Ovis aries: one gene and its partners. The main gene of each other region encodes a partner of the protein of the gene in region 3 in a complex. Links are inferred from orthologs where the notes say so. Each region holds a gene or a part of one and is shown on either strand. Other genes may lie near its edges.

Region 1 (4,368 bases), about 29 Mb from region 3:
TCTTAACCACTATACTTTCAGTCCCATAAGGGGCAGGAGACTATCTTATTCATTCTTACATTCCTAGCAGCCAGCACTGTCTCATTACAGGTTGCAATCAATAGAAACACTTATTGAAATAAAATGTTACCGTGTAGAATGTCCGAGTCATCTTCGACAAAATCAATATCTCTCAAGTCCCACTCCGCATAATTGTCAAACTCCTGTTTGGGGAAAAAAATTCCCACCTCAGATCCATCAGCTTTGAGTAATGCCTTTATAGGAGTCATGCATTAAAAGCAAACAGCAAATATACAAACACTTGTTAAAAAGTACTGAATGGGGTACAAGGCCAGGATAACTGCCATAAGTAATAAATCACGGGAAAAATCTGAGAGGCTTTCAGGCAATACTGACAGCAAAAAAATGAGAACGCTATGAGTCCAGGAATAAATATTTGGTTCTAAAAGTAGTCTGTTCATAAAATGTAAATCAAGAAAATCTCACTCTGACTAGTCCTTCAAGTATTTAGGTAAGAAAATTGTGTGCATTAATTCATCTACCTTTCTACCACCACCTGAGGGCTCTATTTATTCCAGAATATTGGTTATACAGCTCAGTGGGTAGATTTGTTCATATTCTGTTCAGTGAGTACAATACGCAGGGGTAGTGTCTACGAGGGAGCTCTACAACAGCAGCTGCCAAGAACAAAATGCTGACCTGGGTGTGGCCAGCAAAACTGTTTGTAGTTTGCTAAACTTTAATTACCTCCAGGAGTGCTGTAATTGTGGATGAGGTGGTAAATCAAGAGACATGTGACTGCATTCACATGGCTTTATGGCTGCAAGAACAGGTAGCTTTTCCACCCATTCATCATTCTTCATACACTTGTGAATATAATACAGAAGACAGCAAACTACAGCCTACAGACCAAATTTAGCCCACTGCCTATTTTTGTAAATAAAGTTTTACTGGTGCACCAGCATGCTCATTTGTTTACTATTATCTATGCTGCTTTCTGCACAATTATGGCAAAGTTTAGTTCCAACAGAGACTTTATGGTCTATAAAATTTAAAATATTTACTATCAGGACCTTAATAGAAAAAGTTTCCCACCCCCCTGACATAATACAACCTTGGAACCCTCTAGGTATGGAATGAGAATCAGACTACAGAAACCCTATACTTACTAAGGAAATGGGACTTAAGAAATAAGTTCTTAAGGGGCCTTCCCAGGTAGCACTAGTGGTAAAGAAATAAGTTCTTGGTCTGAAGAACTTCTACCTTTCCAAAAAAAAAAAAGTTTACAAATGAGAAAAGGCACTCAGAGAAAATGAGACTGCCTAAGGCCCTACAAATTACAGTGTTTTGAAAAGCTTTTTAGTGGTATGAAACCTACAGGTAAGTGATATGGCCTCATCCGAAACAAAAACAAGTTTCTCCTACCTCAATGAAATCTGCTCGAGCTGGCATGTATCCTGCCATGTCCCGAGAAAGCAAGGAGTCAAAGGTAGGTCGGGGAGGGTCATCTGCAGCTGAAAGAATTTCGAGTTTTTCTTAGTACCTTAATAAAATACTGGCATAAAAAATAACACAAAAAAAGTTCTCATTTAGATTCTGAAATATTTTTATTTGGAGAAAGATAGTGTCTGAGAGAATAAATAAAATTCAAAAGATTTTTATAAAGGAAAGTAAAAAAGTAAAGTATTATGGAAACAAACTGACTTCTTAATAAAGAAATTAAGGGGACTTCCCTGGTGGTCTAGTGGTTAAGACTGCACTTCCTCTGCAAGGGACATGGGTTCGATTCCTGGTTGGGGAACTAAGACCCCACATGCTACAAGGGGCAGGGAAAAGAAAAAAAAAAAAAAAAAAGAAAGAAAGAAACTAAGATTTAGGGAACCCTCTAAGTAAATATGGAAAATTCCCTCTGCTTTTTACTTCCCTAATATAAAAGAAAATCAAAGATCTTTTCTGTAGCATTATAGAACTTAAGTATTTACTCTGTCTGCTTCAGCTCCCTTCTCAGGTATCAATTTATAAATCCCATCCAACTGATAGGCAAAAACACCACTGGATTTGGAGTGAGCTGGAATTGAGTCACTAGTCCTGTGATCTTGCACAAATTATTTAACCTTTCTGAATTTCAGGTTCCTTGTGTGCAAAACCAAAACACTTGCTCTTTCTGTCTCACTGCATTGCCATGAGGAAGAAATGGTCTAAACCATTTGAGAACAAAGCGCTAACATCCGAAGGGCTATCCAAACAGGAGATAGCCCCAGGTTTTGAGTTAGTCAGCTACGAAACTGTCTCCAGAAAGTATGAGGAAATAGGCAGGGGAAAGAAAAATAATCATATCTCATTATTTGTGCCCTGGGAGTCATTCAGAAAGGATGTCCACTTATAATTCATCATGGGTTTGGTTATGTTTTGTTAGACCCATGAGTCCCTAAGTCACATGAGATTGAAAAAAAAAATAAGTTTGCTATAATTGCCACAACCAAGTGAATGAAAATAACAAATTGCTTCTTGGGCTTAATACTGGGATGGTTAATTATAATGATTTCCACACTAGACTGTCTTACTGATACAGGGAGGTACTTACAGTGAAATGGAATGGCTGTATCAGCAGTTTTTGCCTCCTCTGCTTGCTTCAGGTTCAGCAGGGTAGATGCAAACAGAGGGTTATTGATGAAATGCTTCATATAGTGCTTCTCACACTCCTCCTTGGTCTTGGTGCACATCTGATTGGCTACATCCTGCCTAGAGTGTGGAAAGTGAGAAAAGGAAGCAGAGTTTTCATTATACATAATGGTCAAAGTATGGTTTGTTTTTTCCATATTTTAAGCCCCACTGATACAATGTGTGGAATTTGATACCCCCAAACTGATATCATGCAGCTACTGGCAGAACAGTGAGACAAATATAAACATAGCATTGGTATAATCCGATGTTTCAAATCCTGCTATTCCATGATAGAGGTGCCAATATCTAAAAAAGTCCTTTTCTTTTCAACAAAATAAGGAAGATTATTAGAAAATCTGTGAATTTCCCTGTGAGCTAGGCTCTATCAAAAGAATTGCTATAATTAATAATAAGCCAGAACATTTATATTTGCATATTTTATAGTTTACAAAACACTTCATGTGAACAAACATTTCTTTACTAGAGCTCTCATGACAGACCAAGCTCTAAGCTGGAAATATGTACAATCAATCAATGCTAGTATTAACTGTGTAGTGTATTTACTATCTCAGTTTCACAGATGAAAAAAATGAGGCCCAAAGAAGTTAACAAACTTGCTTGAGAACACAAAACACGGAAGTGTCAAAGCCACTTAATTTGTACTAAAGAACCCTGACTCCTGGCCCAGATGATGCAGAAGTCGAGGTGAAATCTCTCAAAGTCCCCTCGCAACCTCTCTCTTCCACGACACTTCACTTGTATTGTGCCTCCTAAAGCACGTGCCTCCACTTCACTTGCCTCCTGAGGCATCACTATGCTCTGATTTATGTACTTCAACCAACTGTACATTTATGCTGATTCCCCTACTAGACTACAAGCTTCCTGGAGACAGGATACATGTCATAATTCTTGGCTCCAGCATCCTCACCACCAAGCTTAGTGCCTTACCCACAGCGGAGAGACAAATGATGGTCTTTGCTAAGGAAGGGGTACAAAGAGGAATAGCCTCTTTTAGACAAAAAATGAAAAACTAGGCCAAAGAAGCCTAGCAAGAAAATGATCACTTTTTTCTATTTTCGGTATTCCTATAGTAAACAAAATTTTATGATGCTTGATAAATATAAGCAAAATATGAATAGAATTCAAATCTGTTTCTTCAAGGCCCTGGATATAAGGGAGGCAGCATAGTATATTTTATCAACATCTGACAGAGGATATACTCTAGGAAGTCAGGACAAGGAAGAGCTATTTAAGGGTCCTCTGGTAACATTAATAAACTATGTGGTCATAAGAAGTCATTTTTTAACTTCCTAAGCTTCAGATTCTTCATGAACAAAATATATTCAATAATGCCTCTGCTATCTAGTTCATAAAAAGAAACCATCAGTTTGAAATAAAAACGAAAGTAGCAGTATCATTATTAAGCAGTGTTACCTCATAAGGCAACTGAACGCTGTTCAATTCTGCCACGCTAGGACTAAGCAAGTATATACAAGCTAAAACCAGAAAACGTGAATAGGTAATCTATCAAATTTGAATCTCAGGCAAGCTATGGCCATTTATCTAAAGTCTGACTCACTTAAATGACAAGGCCATCTACAGCCAAGAAAAGTTTACAAAATCAGAAAGGAAGAATAACTAATAGTGTCTACGCTTCCCCACTATTCAGAGAGGAATAATCAACCGTCCGTGGTGTTGATATTT
Region 2 (3,267 bases), on a different chromosome or scaffold from region 3:
ATGGAGTTCTCAAGGCAAGAATACGGTTTGCCATTCCCTTCTCCAGTGGACTGCGTTTTGTCAGAACTCTCCACCATGATCCATCTGTCTTGGGTGGCCCTACACAGCATGGCTCAGTTTCAATGAGTCAGATAAGGCTGTGGTCCATGTGATCAGTTTGATTAGTTTTCTGAGATTGTGGTTTTCATTCTGTCTGCCCTCTGATGGATAAGGATAATACATTTATGGAAGATTCCTGATGGGAGAGACTGACTGAGGGGTCACTTAAGCATTAAAACGGATACACTCAGAGAGTAGAATATAACACATCTGTACTGTTAAAAACCTATACCTTAAGGCCAAGTGCACATCAGGTGATAGCTGGCCCCTCCCAGTCTGCTGGGGGGTCTCTGGAAGGCCAGGGTGGTGCTGACTCTCTGAAAGGGAAGAGGGTGAGAAGAGCCCAGAAGACCCCTTTTATATTTTTTTAATTGAAGGATAACTGCTCTACAGAATTTTATTGTTTTCTGTCAACCCTCAACATGAATCAGCCATAGGTATACATATGTCCCCTCCCTCTTGAACCTCCCTCCAGAAGACTCTCTTCTCGAAGGCTCATTGTTGCCCTGGGGAACCTGGTATCTGAGTGACCCCGTATATCCAGCCTGGGTCTTGTGGGGGAGGGGAAAAGAGCCTGCGGAGCCCTGGAGCCCATCCCAGTTATCAGAGACATGTGACAGGACAGTCTCAGACTTTTCCCTTGGGGGAGACACACACATTTCCCTTGAATGAAGGGATTCCAGCTCCCTCTAAGCACAGACTCCAGAACAGAGGTCCTGGTGTACAAGGATCACAGATGCAAAATTTTACATATGCAGAGCTTTCCTTGCATTCTCAAACGGAATCGTGTCCCACCCCCACCCCGCCAACCACCCACAAAATAAAAACTACTGCTCTTAAGAGAGCTGGAGAGCAAACTGGCTAGACTGGCCACAGGTTGTCACAAAAAGATATTTTATTTGAGAACATCTGATACTGTGGGAAGCATTTCTACTAAATCCAAAAGCACCTGACTGATGGTCCACTTCCACTCTCCACAAGCCAGCCAACAGCCTCGGCAGGCAGACGCAAGGTGTGTCTGTCCACGGCTGACCCCTCCACCACCGCACACCTTCGTCAGGGGCACAATCAAACAGGAGGCTGCCCAGCTCCTCCAGCCCCAAACTGACCTTACTTGACAGGACAGGAGAACAGCTCTCGCCTCCCAGGCCAGGGCCCCAGCCGGACATGCTCACAGGAGAAAGGTCAGGTGACGTCTCACACAAGACACTGTAACCAAAGTCAGCGCATGCCCCGCTCTGGGGACAGCACAGCCGGGTTGGGACAGGCTGAGTCAGCATGTGGTCGTCACCAGGACGGCACAGGGCCTAGTGGACATGGCAAGGATCTTGGACTACAATCACCCTGCTCACTTTAAATGGGACAGACCTTCTCTCCTCAGGAACATCAGCTCAGGCCTTTCTGGCTCAACGCGCTTTCGGCTGAAGGTCGGCACACCTGGCAGTCTTGGCTGACCCGCACTCACGTCAGCCCTCTCCTCCAAGCGCGTGTGTCCCGTGAGGAGCCACGCTCACGTCAGCCCTCTCCTCCAAGTGTGTGCCCTGGGAGGAGCCGCGCTCACGTCAGCCCTCTCCTCCAAGCGCGTGTGTCCCGTGAGGAGCCGCGCTCACGTCAGCGTCGCAGACGCAGAAAGAACGCGTGCTTACACTCCGTGCTCTCCAGGGGGTAATACTTGTCATAAAAGTCTAAGACGTACTCTTCCGTCTTGAACCCGAACTTCTGGTAGAGCAGCATGGCAGGGTTGCTGGCGGAGACGTGCAGGGTCACGTCCTTGCCCATGCAGGTCTGCAAGAGTGGAGAAGCACACAGTGAGAACGAGAGGGCCTCGGGGAAAAGGAGTGGGTGGAGAGAGTCCCTGACTTTAAGGCAGTCAGGTACAGAGGCTGGAAGAGTCCGGCCTGAGGCTGGGGTACGGGACCACCAGCCAGCGCCTGTGGGGGAACCCAAGAACCCTCGCTGAAACGTTCCAGACTGAGGTGGTGGACGGTAAGCGGATTGAATGTTTTTCCCCAGTTTTTAATGAAACTTACTCAGTAATTCCCACATGTTGGTGTCTGTCCACCTTTGATGAGGCCTCTTAGTATAGGAAGCCTTAAGGACCCTGGTTTGTAAAACCTCCAGTTTTTTCTCTCTGGAGCAAAGAGCCACTGGGGATATTTCACTGCCAACTGTTTTATAATTCAGTTACATTTAAGTATATCCAGCGTAACAATACCAAACCCTATGACAACCTTGAAAAAACAAGGGACAAGATCAGACGTTCTGTTTTTAAAAACTAGATGTCATCCTGCAAGACAATCATAAATGCTCCCACCCTGGACCTACTAGGAAAGATGTCAAGTTATGTGACCAAGTATGAAACCTCAAGACTTCTGTTTAATTATACAAGCTGGGTATCCCCTAGGGACATTCTGAATCCCAAAGACCCCCTCAGCACTCCCAGACTTCTCAGAACTGAGGTTTCTTCATGTACCACCAGCCTTGTCCCATGGGGAAAAAGAGGGGGGTCTGTTCTACTGCAGCTAGGCAGGTTCTCAGATTCTTTAATTAACAACACAGAAGAGAGCAACGGAAGTTACATAAACTCAGAACTGGCTCTTTAATGAGGAGGTGCTGAGACTGTGGACTTCATGAGTCCTGGAGGTTTTACAACCCCAGGGTCCTTAAGGCTTCCTATACTAAGAGGCCTCATCAAAGGTGGACAGATGCCAACATGTGAGAATTATTGAGCAAGTTTCATTAAAAACTGGGAAAAAACATTCACCATCTCCTATTTAAAAAGAATCTTGCCTACGTGACAGACAATGCTCCATACCGAATGGCTTCTAGGTAAGTCACCAGATGAATTCTGGGGTAAAAAAAAAACCTTGCCTGTGTTTCTGGTATTTGTATATAAATATACGGTCTATCTTCCTCAAAGGTGATACAGATTCATCAAAGGATGGATTACTTAGAAGGTTCACAGCAGCTTACACAGTGACAGTAAAACTGAAAACAAGCAGCGATAACAGAATATACCTACTGCTGATAGCATGAGGTTTTTTTGGTTTTGGTCATGCTGGGTGGCATGCGGGATCTAGTTCCCCCACCAGGGACGGAACCCGCACCCCCTGCATTGGGAGTGCAGTCTTAATCACTAGTTCACCAGGGAAATCCCTGATAAATGGT
Region 3 (5,168 bases):
GTGTGTATGTGGGGTATGTGTGGGGGGCGTGGGTGTGTGTCTGTGGTGCGGTGTGGGATGTGTGTGGGGGCGTGTGTGTGTGTGGGTGTGTGTGGTGTGTATGTGTGGTGTGTATGTGTGGGGTATGTGTGGTGTGGTGTGTGTGGGGGGGGTGTGTGATGTGGGGGGTGTGGGGTGTGTATGTGTGGTGTGGGTGTGTGTGTGAGGTGTGTGTGTATGTGGGTGTGGTGTGGGGGTGTATGTGTGGTGTGGTGTGTATGTGGGGGTGTATGTGTGGGGTGGGGGTGTGTGTGGTGTGTGGTGGGTGTGGTGTGGTGTGGTGTGTGTGTGTGGTGGGTATGTGTGTATGTGGGTGTGGTGTGGGTGTGTGTGTGTGGTGTGGTGTGTATGTGGGGGGTGTATGTGTGGGGTGGGGGTGTGTGTGGGGTGGTGTGGTGTGTGTGTGGGGTGGGTATGTGTGTGTGGTGTGGTGTATATGGGGTGTGTGTCTGGTATGGTGTGTATGTGGGGTGGGTATGTGTGGGGTGGGTATGTATGTGTGGTGTGGTGTGTATGTGTGTGATGTGATGTGTGTGTGTATGTGGGTTGTGTGTGTTGCTCCATCGAGTCCGACGCTGTGCAACCCCATACACTGTAGCCTGCCAGGCTTCTCTGTTCGTGGAATTTTCCAGGCAGGAATACTGGAGTGGGTTGCCATGCCCTCCTCCAGGGAATCTTCCTGACCCAGGGATCGAAACCCATCTCTTATATCTCCTGCACTGGCAGGTGGATTCTTTACCACTGCACCACTTGGAAATCTGTGGATACCTATGAACCACGTTTAAAATGAAAAGACAGTGTGGCAAAACAGAGAAAAATCTTACAGAAGGACTAGAACAGGGGTGGAAATTGGCTTCTCTTCAAGTGTAAGCTCTGTACTCTTGGAATGCTGTGGTGAGACGGATTCTGAGCTATGTCCATGCCCCACGGGAAACAGGCAGTCATGTCTACCAGGTGGGTGGGCAGGGGCAGCACTAGCACTCAGGCCATATACCTGCCATCCCACTAGTATACAGACAGGCAAAGAGCTAGTGAATTACACTTGGGCCTTGGGCAAGCCTCCCAGGTAGAGGTCCAGATCCCAGAAGGTTCATGGAGGGAGAAGAGGGACCAATCCAGGAAGCCTTCCTGGAAAAAGGGGACAAGAGGGAGGATGTGAGCGTGGTACAAGGTCCTGATGGGCCAGAACGAGCCTTACTTGGGGAAGTGGGTGAGGATGAGGGTCCTCTTCTCGGGCACCAGCTTGTCCTTCTCTACTCGGAACTTCTCTAGCAGCTGTCGCCGGGTAACCGTGAAGATGGAGCGGAGAAGGCTGCGCCCGAAGACGTGAGTGGTCTCATACCGGGGGAGGCTATCGCAGCTCTGGGGCACGTGGCAGTAGCAGAGCCATCTGCAAGAGCAGGAGGTGGTAAGGGAGAGCAGAAACCAAGTTCAGGCTGAGCCTACAAGCCTCCCCCCATGCTATCCCTGGCTGGACCTACCTGGTGTAATTGACCTTGTAGGTAGCCACATCCTCGGCCTGAGACCTCTGCCGAAATTGGGCAGGTGTCTCAAGCTTCCAGTAGTTAAGGCAGAGCAGGAACATCTTTGAGAGCTCGAACATCGTCTGCCGCTCCCGGGGAGCCAGGTGACTAAACTTGTACTGCACAAAGTTTAGCACGCCCTGGGCAGGGAGGGGAAGGGAAAAAATAGGAGAAGAGGTGTGAGCAGCTAGCATGGCCTTCTTATCCAAAAGTAAGGTGCTTCCTGAGGGCAGGGGGCTCTCTCGGGCTTTCACTCTCACTTTGAGCAGGAGAGATTATACCGCTTCCCACCTAGTATACCCACCCTGAGATTAGCACAAAGCAATCTCCTTTCTCCTAACCTCTCCCCTGTTCTCAGGGCAGGTGGGGGGCGGCAGATAACACAGGCTCCCTGCTCCTCCAAGATGCCCTCAATCCTCTTACCACCTTCCTCATCCCACCTGCTCAATATTAGGCTTCTCAAATGGGGGGCTGCCCAGGGACCCCTCCACCACAGGCCGGGTCATCTGCAGGATGCATTTCCGCAGGAGCTGCAGGAAGAGGGAGGGGTAGAGATCAGTGGAGCACAGAGCTGCAGACCTTCCCAGCCTCCCTTTTGCCCACTCACACTCTCATTTGAAGGAAGCTCACCTTGAAGAGGTAGAAATAGACCTGCTTGGTGTCCGTGTCCTCCTCCTTATGAACAGACATGAACAGATTCTCCACGTCCACCACCATCCCCAGCAGCCGGTTAATCTCATCCTCCGACACGTTCTCCAGGTGGGACACGTGGTCAGCTGTAAGAATAAGTGGTAGTTGGGGAAAACTGACAGAAAAAAATCAACAGGACTTCCTCCTCCTCATTATTGCCAGCCAAGACACATCCTGAGTCCCTCTGACCAGTGTGACCAGGCAATGAGATTGACTGCTCCTATGTCAGCCCTGGGGGGCCTCTTGTCTCTTTTGGTGGGAGGTTTCCTTTCTGCTTCCTTGGGGCATACACACTCCCAGCCCAATTCCTCCTTAGGAGGCATCTTCTGTCTTTCAGAGATGAAACTGAGTGGTCCTGTCCAAGCAGGACCCAGCACTTCCACCTCCCCAACCCCAGTTCCACGGGTACTATCTGCCTTACCCAAAGGGTGCTCACAGCTGCGGCACAGCTCGCTCAGGTTCGCCGCTGGCTGCTGCAGATCCATGCGGGGTGCAGTGGGGGGCTTGGGGTTTTTCCAGCCATTACACTTGCAGGTTTCATTGGCCTGGAAGCAGAAGTATCAGTCAATAAGCGTGTAACCCGGGGAAGAGTAGCCGCTCCCCTGTCACAGCTTTGCCCGGATTCCCACCCAAGCCCTAGGATGCCCCAAGCCCCGCCCCCTGTTACCCCCAGGCCCCGCCCCCACCTTGCAAGCCGAGAAGACCCCTAGCTTCTCAAGCTTCTTGGCGCGCGGCAGCCCCCGGACTTGCGCCTTCCTTTGGCTGGCGCGCTGCTGCTGGCTCAGGCCAGGTCGAGCCGGATCACCCCCGCTCCCGGTACCCCCACTTCCTACCCCGGGCCCCCCAGTCCCTGTGCTCCCGGCTGGGGCTGTAGCTGGGGCAGGGGCTGGTGCCGGAGTGGGAGCCGGAGTGGGGGCCGAAGCTGGGCTGAGGGTAGGAGTCGGAGTTGGGGCAGGGGCTGGGGACTGAAGCGGACGGGGCTGCGCGGCAGGGGCCGGGGTAGAGGCCTGGGAAGGTTCCGCCATGGCCTCCCCAGAAGCGGAGCGCGGCGCAGCGCGGCGCTCCCAGCCCTAGGGCCGCATGGGCAACCGGCATTCAATGCGCAGGCGTCGCTGCCCCAGAGTATGATGGGAGTTGTAGTCTTTCACGATTAGTTTCGTCGCCTCCAGGTTCCAGACTTTTCTGTCCTGTCCCTCGATCCCGGACAGCCAAATGAGGCTCGAGCCAGCACCCCAGATTGACTCCTCCTCACTTGTAATCCTTTTAGAAGGCTTCCGAGGTAGTCAAGATTACTGCCTTTTGAGGGCAAGGAGAAGCACCCCAGAAAACAGGCTTCTGTTTGGGGAATCACCTCTCAAGCCATAAAGGTGGAAATCCAGGCCTGGGGCCAGAAGTGTAGTGGTTTCATGCCCACCTCCCTCCTCCCCTCACTCTGCCCCTATCCCCCACGTTTCTGGACACAGAATTGTAGCTAGTTCAGTTCAATTCAGTTGCTCAGTCGTGTCAGACTCTTTGCGACTAGGGTGGTGATTAAATAACAATAGTTCTATTTCTTGACCTGTTAAGTGGTTACATGGTTGTGCTTTGTGCGCTTTTCTCTGTGTTAACTTATACTTCAACAAAAAGAGGTTTATTATTAAAAGCACTGAGCGTCAGAGTAATGGCCAGGGTCAGGAAAAAGGCTCCTGAGGTGGGGATGAGGGAGCATGGGACGTGCTATACACCCACACCGTGGGCACCTCCCAGTCAGGGCCCACGTCTTCATCTTTGTGGTCCCAGAGCCCAGCTCTGAGCCTGCCGCGATAGGCCAAGGGTAGGATGAATGAAGGAAACCAGAAAGACGCGTTCATCTTCTAGTACAGGTTCATATGTGGTCAGAGAACTGTAGGATATTACAAGAACCAATGACCCCGTGGTCACACTGATGGCTCTGTTCGGGGGCAATCCTCCTTGCCCCAAGGCCTGATTCGCAGAAGAGCAAGAATCTCATGGCTCAATCTCATCTTCACTCCATGCTAGTGACCGCTGCAGGGTCGGGCTCAAGCACTGCCAACCTCTTTTGTTGGGTCACAGCCCTGGCCGCCCGGCCCTGTGATGGAGGTAGGACAGAGCCCTGACCAAAAAAGGAGCAGGATCTGGGATAAAAGCAGCAGCAAGAGGCTACAGAGCAGCTGCCAACCTGACCCGTGGAGGTAGGACATGCAGTTCAGTTCAGTTCAGTTCAGTCGCTCAGTCGTGTCCTACTCTTTACGACCCCATGAATCGCAGCACGCCAGGCCTCCCTGTCCATCACCAACTCCCGGAGCAGAGCTGACCTCAAACTCAGCGGAACCGAACCTCTCTGGAAGCCAAGGGAGCGCCCTGCTCAGAGCTGCTCAGCGCAGCGCGCAGCGCTAGTGTAACGACGCGGGGCCACGAGGCCCCGCCCCCCCAGCTCCGACAGGCCGCTAAGTTCTGAGCCTCGAGCCCAACAGCAGTTGCTCACTCGGATGCAGCGGGTCGGTGGCAGTCTCCCTAGCGGGAGCCAGTCGGCCTCCCGATGTCCCAGCGTGGCCTTTATTGAACAGAACCAGGTGGCCACTCTACCGGTGCAGCGGCTCACGGAGGATGTGGCAGCTGTGCGGGACAACGTCCACCCGGAGGATGGCTTCCAGATGAAACTGTATGCCCATGGCTTCACCCCCGAGGAGCTGTTGGTTCAGGTGAACAGCGGATGCCTGGTGGTGACTGGCCAGCGACAACTGGAGGGCTGCAACCCGGATGGGACCGGCTTCCGCGTGGCGCAGAAGGTGCACCAGCAAATGTCACTACCACCGGACCTGGATCCCGCTGCCATGACTTGCTGCCTGACCCCCTCCGGCCAGCTGTGTGTCCGTGGCCAGTGCCGGGCACTGCCTCCCTCTGAGGCTCAAACAG
Region 4 (3,411 bases), on a different chromosome or scaffold from region 3:
GGTACAATTCACATCAGCAAGATGGCCAGCAAATATCCGTAAAGGCTGATAGTGATCTGTAGCCCAGAGCCTTTTTAAAAAATTATTGAACACACAAGGTAATTAGTAGTTAACTCTGAAATGCCAAGTTCTATCCAAAATACAGAAACAACCATGTGAAATATTAGCGTAAGTGGGTCCCCCTCACTAGTTTACCTGAGGGAAAGGAGGACAGAATGACTTAGAGACTAATCTTTTGTGTTTTTTTAAAGCTATGCCATGCAGCTTGCAGGATCTTAGTTCCCCAACCAGGGATTTAACTAGTGCCCTCAGCAGTGAAAGCACCAAGTCCTAACCACTGGACTACCAGGGAATTCCCTAAACATTCTTAAAACAGTTAACATGGTCCAAAAGGTTTTTAATTCTATAATCCTTTAATTCTCTGAATGTACACTCTAACTCCTAGTCTAACTGCTAGAGTATTTTTCCCTCGTTTTGGCTACCACATGGTGGTTTACTCACCAAGTTGTGTCCGACTCTGCAGCCCCATACACTGAAGCCACCAGGCTATTCTGCACGGGATTTCCCAAGCAAGAATAACTAGAGTGGGTTGCCACTTCCTTCTCCAAGGGATCCTCCCAACCCAGGGATCAAACCCGGGTCTCTGGCATTGCAGGCAGATTCTTTACTAATTGAGCCACAAGGGAAGCCCCCAGTGGTGGGGGGGGAGGGGAGCGACCACAAATAATTTCAAACCCAAGCTACCTCATCCTGAACTTTTAAAGATATGACAGGGAAAGGGCTCACAGTGGCCGCAAAAGACAAGGTTTAGTATCCACTTGGGGAAGGGGAGGGCATGGACTCTTGGTGTAGACATGATTGCAGACAGAAATATTTCTGTCCCAAATTAGTTTTCAGATGACCTACCAATGCTGACATTCTCAAAAAGCTGATAATAACAGAAGTGAAAATAAGTTGGCTGGGGTTTGTAATTCCCAACAAGAAACCATTCTGTTCGTTGAACAGGCCCAGTCCTAAGCTCATAATGTTCTTACCGAGCTACTCTGTCATGGCCCCCTGATACAAAATAATATCCATATGGAGAAAACTGTGTGTCCCACACTGGATAGTTGTGTCCTTTATATCCCACCAAGCAAGTAAATGTTTGAAGACTCCACAATCTAACAGTTCCATCCTCTGAAGAGGAGAGCAGGTAGTTCCTGAGAAAAGAGAAGGTAACGTATTTGATTCCTAGAATAACTTAGTTACCTGTCCAGTTTCTCTGTATGTTTGTATATGTTAAATATAGGTAACTGACTACTACATCTCAGTTTTAATTTATGCCTGAAATTCACAGTAGATAACAAGAGTTGAAAGTACTAATGTTGGCCATGACACTACATCCACTGAGCACCTACTGAATAAGCTTAGGTTTTTTTAAAAACAGTATCTATTAAGAAAATCACAGTTCTTTGGAAAAAAACAAAACAAGAGGTAATGACAAAAAGTATGGTCAAATCAGGTCACCTGAAAAAGGCTTCTACTCTAAGTTTCGTAAAGATGAAAATCTTTATGAACGATTTTGGACTGAAAGCAATAAGACATAGATGGTATTACAAAACAAAAAAATACCCTCCCCATATTGCTATAGAATATTAAGAGATCATGAAAAATAAACATTTTCATGGGTTTCTAATTCCCTTATCAGTATTAGTTCTTTTGATTATACAAAGATAAATCTTCAGTTGATAGGTAATATGCCTTTAATAGCAGGAATCTGTTGTGAATTTGGAGATGACAGAAGACTGCTGCTGCTGCTGCTGAATTGTTTCAGTCATGTCCGACTCTGCGACCCCACAGATGGCAGTCCACCAGGCTCCCCCGTCCCTGGGATTCTCCAGGCAAGAACACTGGAGTGGGTTGCCATTTCCTTCAATGCATGAAAGTGAAAAGTGAAAGTGAAGTCGCTCAGTTGTGTCCAACTCTTAGCGACTCCATGGACTGCAGCCTACCAGGCTCCTCAGTCCATGGGATTTTCCAGGCAAGAGTACTGGAGTGGGGTGCCGTTGCCTTCTCTGCAGAAGACAGCAGTAGCCACCAAACACATAGCAGGAACCCAAAGAAGCAATCCTCAACCCCTATAGGAGTTACACAAAACTAAAGCTAATTTTTATAACCAGCAAACCCTGAAGTTATGGATCCTGATTTTGTAAATTTAGCTACTATACACCAGTACCCCAAGATGAATTAGCAGAGGGCAAGATTCTAAAAGATAATGAATGATAGGCAACCATGGGATTTTTCTTATTTTCCCCAACATTTGCATAATGTTTCTAGTAGTTAACTTTCACATAACACACATATATATTTCATATAACTTTCATTTAATCTCAATTAATATAGCAATATTTAATTCTTATAGTTTGTATTTTACCTATCTGGACTGAAGCTGGCTCCATAGACGGGACCACTGTGACCATACAAGATCTTCAGCTCACTTGCTGTTTTCTCATCCATGATTCTTTCTAAGACATCATCAGATTCTTTATCTATCAGGCTAAGATCTAAAATGATCCAGAAATATTACTTTTAAAAAATACATTTATTAAAACAATTTAAGGCAATTATTTAATATATCAGAGTTTAGGAGAAGAACTAACATTTGAACTGTTCCTCCTACTTACCAATCACTATGCTAATGCCTTTAAATTAGGTGCTATCATTTCAGGGTACAAGAGAAGAAAGTGAGGTTCAGAACACTTAATAACATGCCAAAGTGCACACAGCTACTTAGCCTTGGAACTAGGGCTGAAACTCAATTTATCCACTAGATCACAATGTTTTATAAAATAAAACTACAGAGATATTAAAATAAATTATTGAGCATGTGTTATCTTGTTTAAGCAATACAACTAGCAAGAAACTTTAAAATGTAACCCTGATCTTAGTTCATTTTAGCCATTTTTATGGCTAAAACAGAAAAGTACTCTCCCAGTATTTAAGACTCTTTTTTTTTTAATTTACAAACAAACAATCATAAAATGTTAGATTTTTAACTTCAGGGAGTTTTCTAGCCTAATGCCCTCATTCTACAGATGAGAAAACTGAAGACCAGAGAAATTAAATCAGTCTAGCACCCCAGTCTCCTGATTGCCACTCCAATACACTTTTCACTGTTGGGAATGTTGTTAACAATTTGACTTGAAGTAAAATCAAGTGAAATTCTGCTAAGATCACAATGTTCTGGTATATTCCATAGAATAAAGATTGGTGTAACCTAATGATGGATTTGTATCCTAACAGGTCATCTCAGTTACCTGCTGCTTGTTTGACACTACGAAGCTTTTTGGGTGTCACAGACCACACTCTGACAGTTGAATCTGCAAAACCTCCAGCGATCAAACTAGAATCATCAGTGACATCCACTGCAGT

Evidence for each region. Proteins that work in one complex are often made in the same cells at the same time.
Region 1: KAT2A (region 3) and TADA2A share a complex: the UniProt entries of both Homo sapiens proteins name them as parts of the ADA2A-containing complex. The link is inferred for Ovis aries from reciprocal best matches to the Homo sapiens genes KAT2A and TADA2A.
Region 2: KAT2A (region 3) and KAT14 share a complex: the UniProt entries of both Homo sapiens proteins name them as parts of the ADA2A-containing complex. The link is inferred for Ovis aries from reciprocal best matches to the Homo sapiens genes KAT2A and KAT14.
Region 4: KAT2A (region 3) and TAF5 share a complex: the UniProt entries of both Homo sapiens proteins name them as parts of the TFTC-HAT complex. The link is inferred for Ovis aries from reciprocal best matches to the Homo sapiens genes KAT2A and TAF5.

What each region holds. Positions count from the first base shown.
Region 1 is NC_056064.1:13,444,565-13,448,932, reverse strand, and holds part of TADA2A (transcriptional adapter 2-alpha), read right to left. Parts: intron 2,743-4,368; coding exon 2,585-2,742; intron 1,515-2,584; coding exon 1,426-1,514; intron 204-1,425; coding exon 131-203; intron 1-130. UniProt on the Homo sapiens protein: Component of the ATAC complex, a complex with histone acetyltransferase activity on histones H3 and H4. Required for the function of some acidic activation domains, which activate transcription from a distant site. Binds double-stranded DNA.
Region 2 is NC_056066.1:37,949,462-37,952,728, reverse strand, and holds part of KAT14 (cysteine-rich protein 2-binding protein), read right to left. Parts: intron 1,885-3,267; coding exon 1,711-1,884; 3' UTR 1-1,710. UniProt on the Homo sapiens protein: Component of the ATAC complex, a complex with histone acetyltransferase activity on histones H3 and H4. May function as a scaffold for the ATAC complex to promote ATAC complex stability. Has also weak histone acetyltransferase activity toward histone H4.
Region 3 is NC_056064.1:41,984,167-41,989,334, forward strand, and holds the start of KAT2A (histone acetyltransferase KAT2A), read right to left. Parts: upstream 3,343-5,168; 5' UTR 3,278-3,342; coding exon 2,939-3,277; intron 2,798-2,938; coding exon 2,674-2,797; intron 2,339-2,673; coding exon 2,193-2,338; intron 2,093-2,192; coding exon 2,003-2,092; intron 1,703-2,002; coding exon 1,521-1,702; intron 1,430-1,520; coding exon 1,238-1,429; intron 1-1,237. Other genes in the region: HSPB9 (heat shock protein beta-9), read left to right, coding at 4,742-5,168. UniProt on the Homo sapiens protein: Protein lysine acyltransferase that can act as a acetyltransferase, glutaryltransferase, succinyltransferase or malonyltransferase, depending on the context.
Region 4 is NC_056075.1:23,667,872-23,671,282, reverse strand, and holds part of TAF5 (transcription initiation factor TFIID subunit 5), read right to left. Parts: coding exon 3,297-3,411; intron 2,544-3,296; coding exon 2,414-2,543; intron 1,200-2,413; coding exon 1,035-1,199; intron 71-1,034; coding exon 1-70. UniProt on the Homo sapiens protein: The TFIID basal transcription factor complex plays a major role in the initiation of RNA polymerase II (Pol II)-dependent transcription.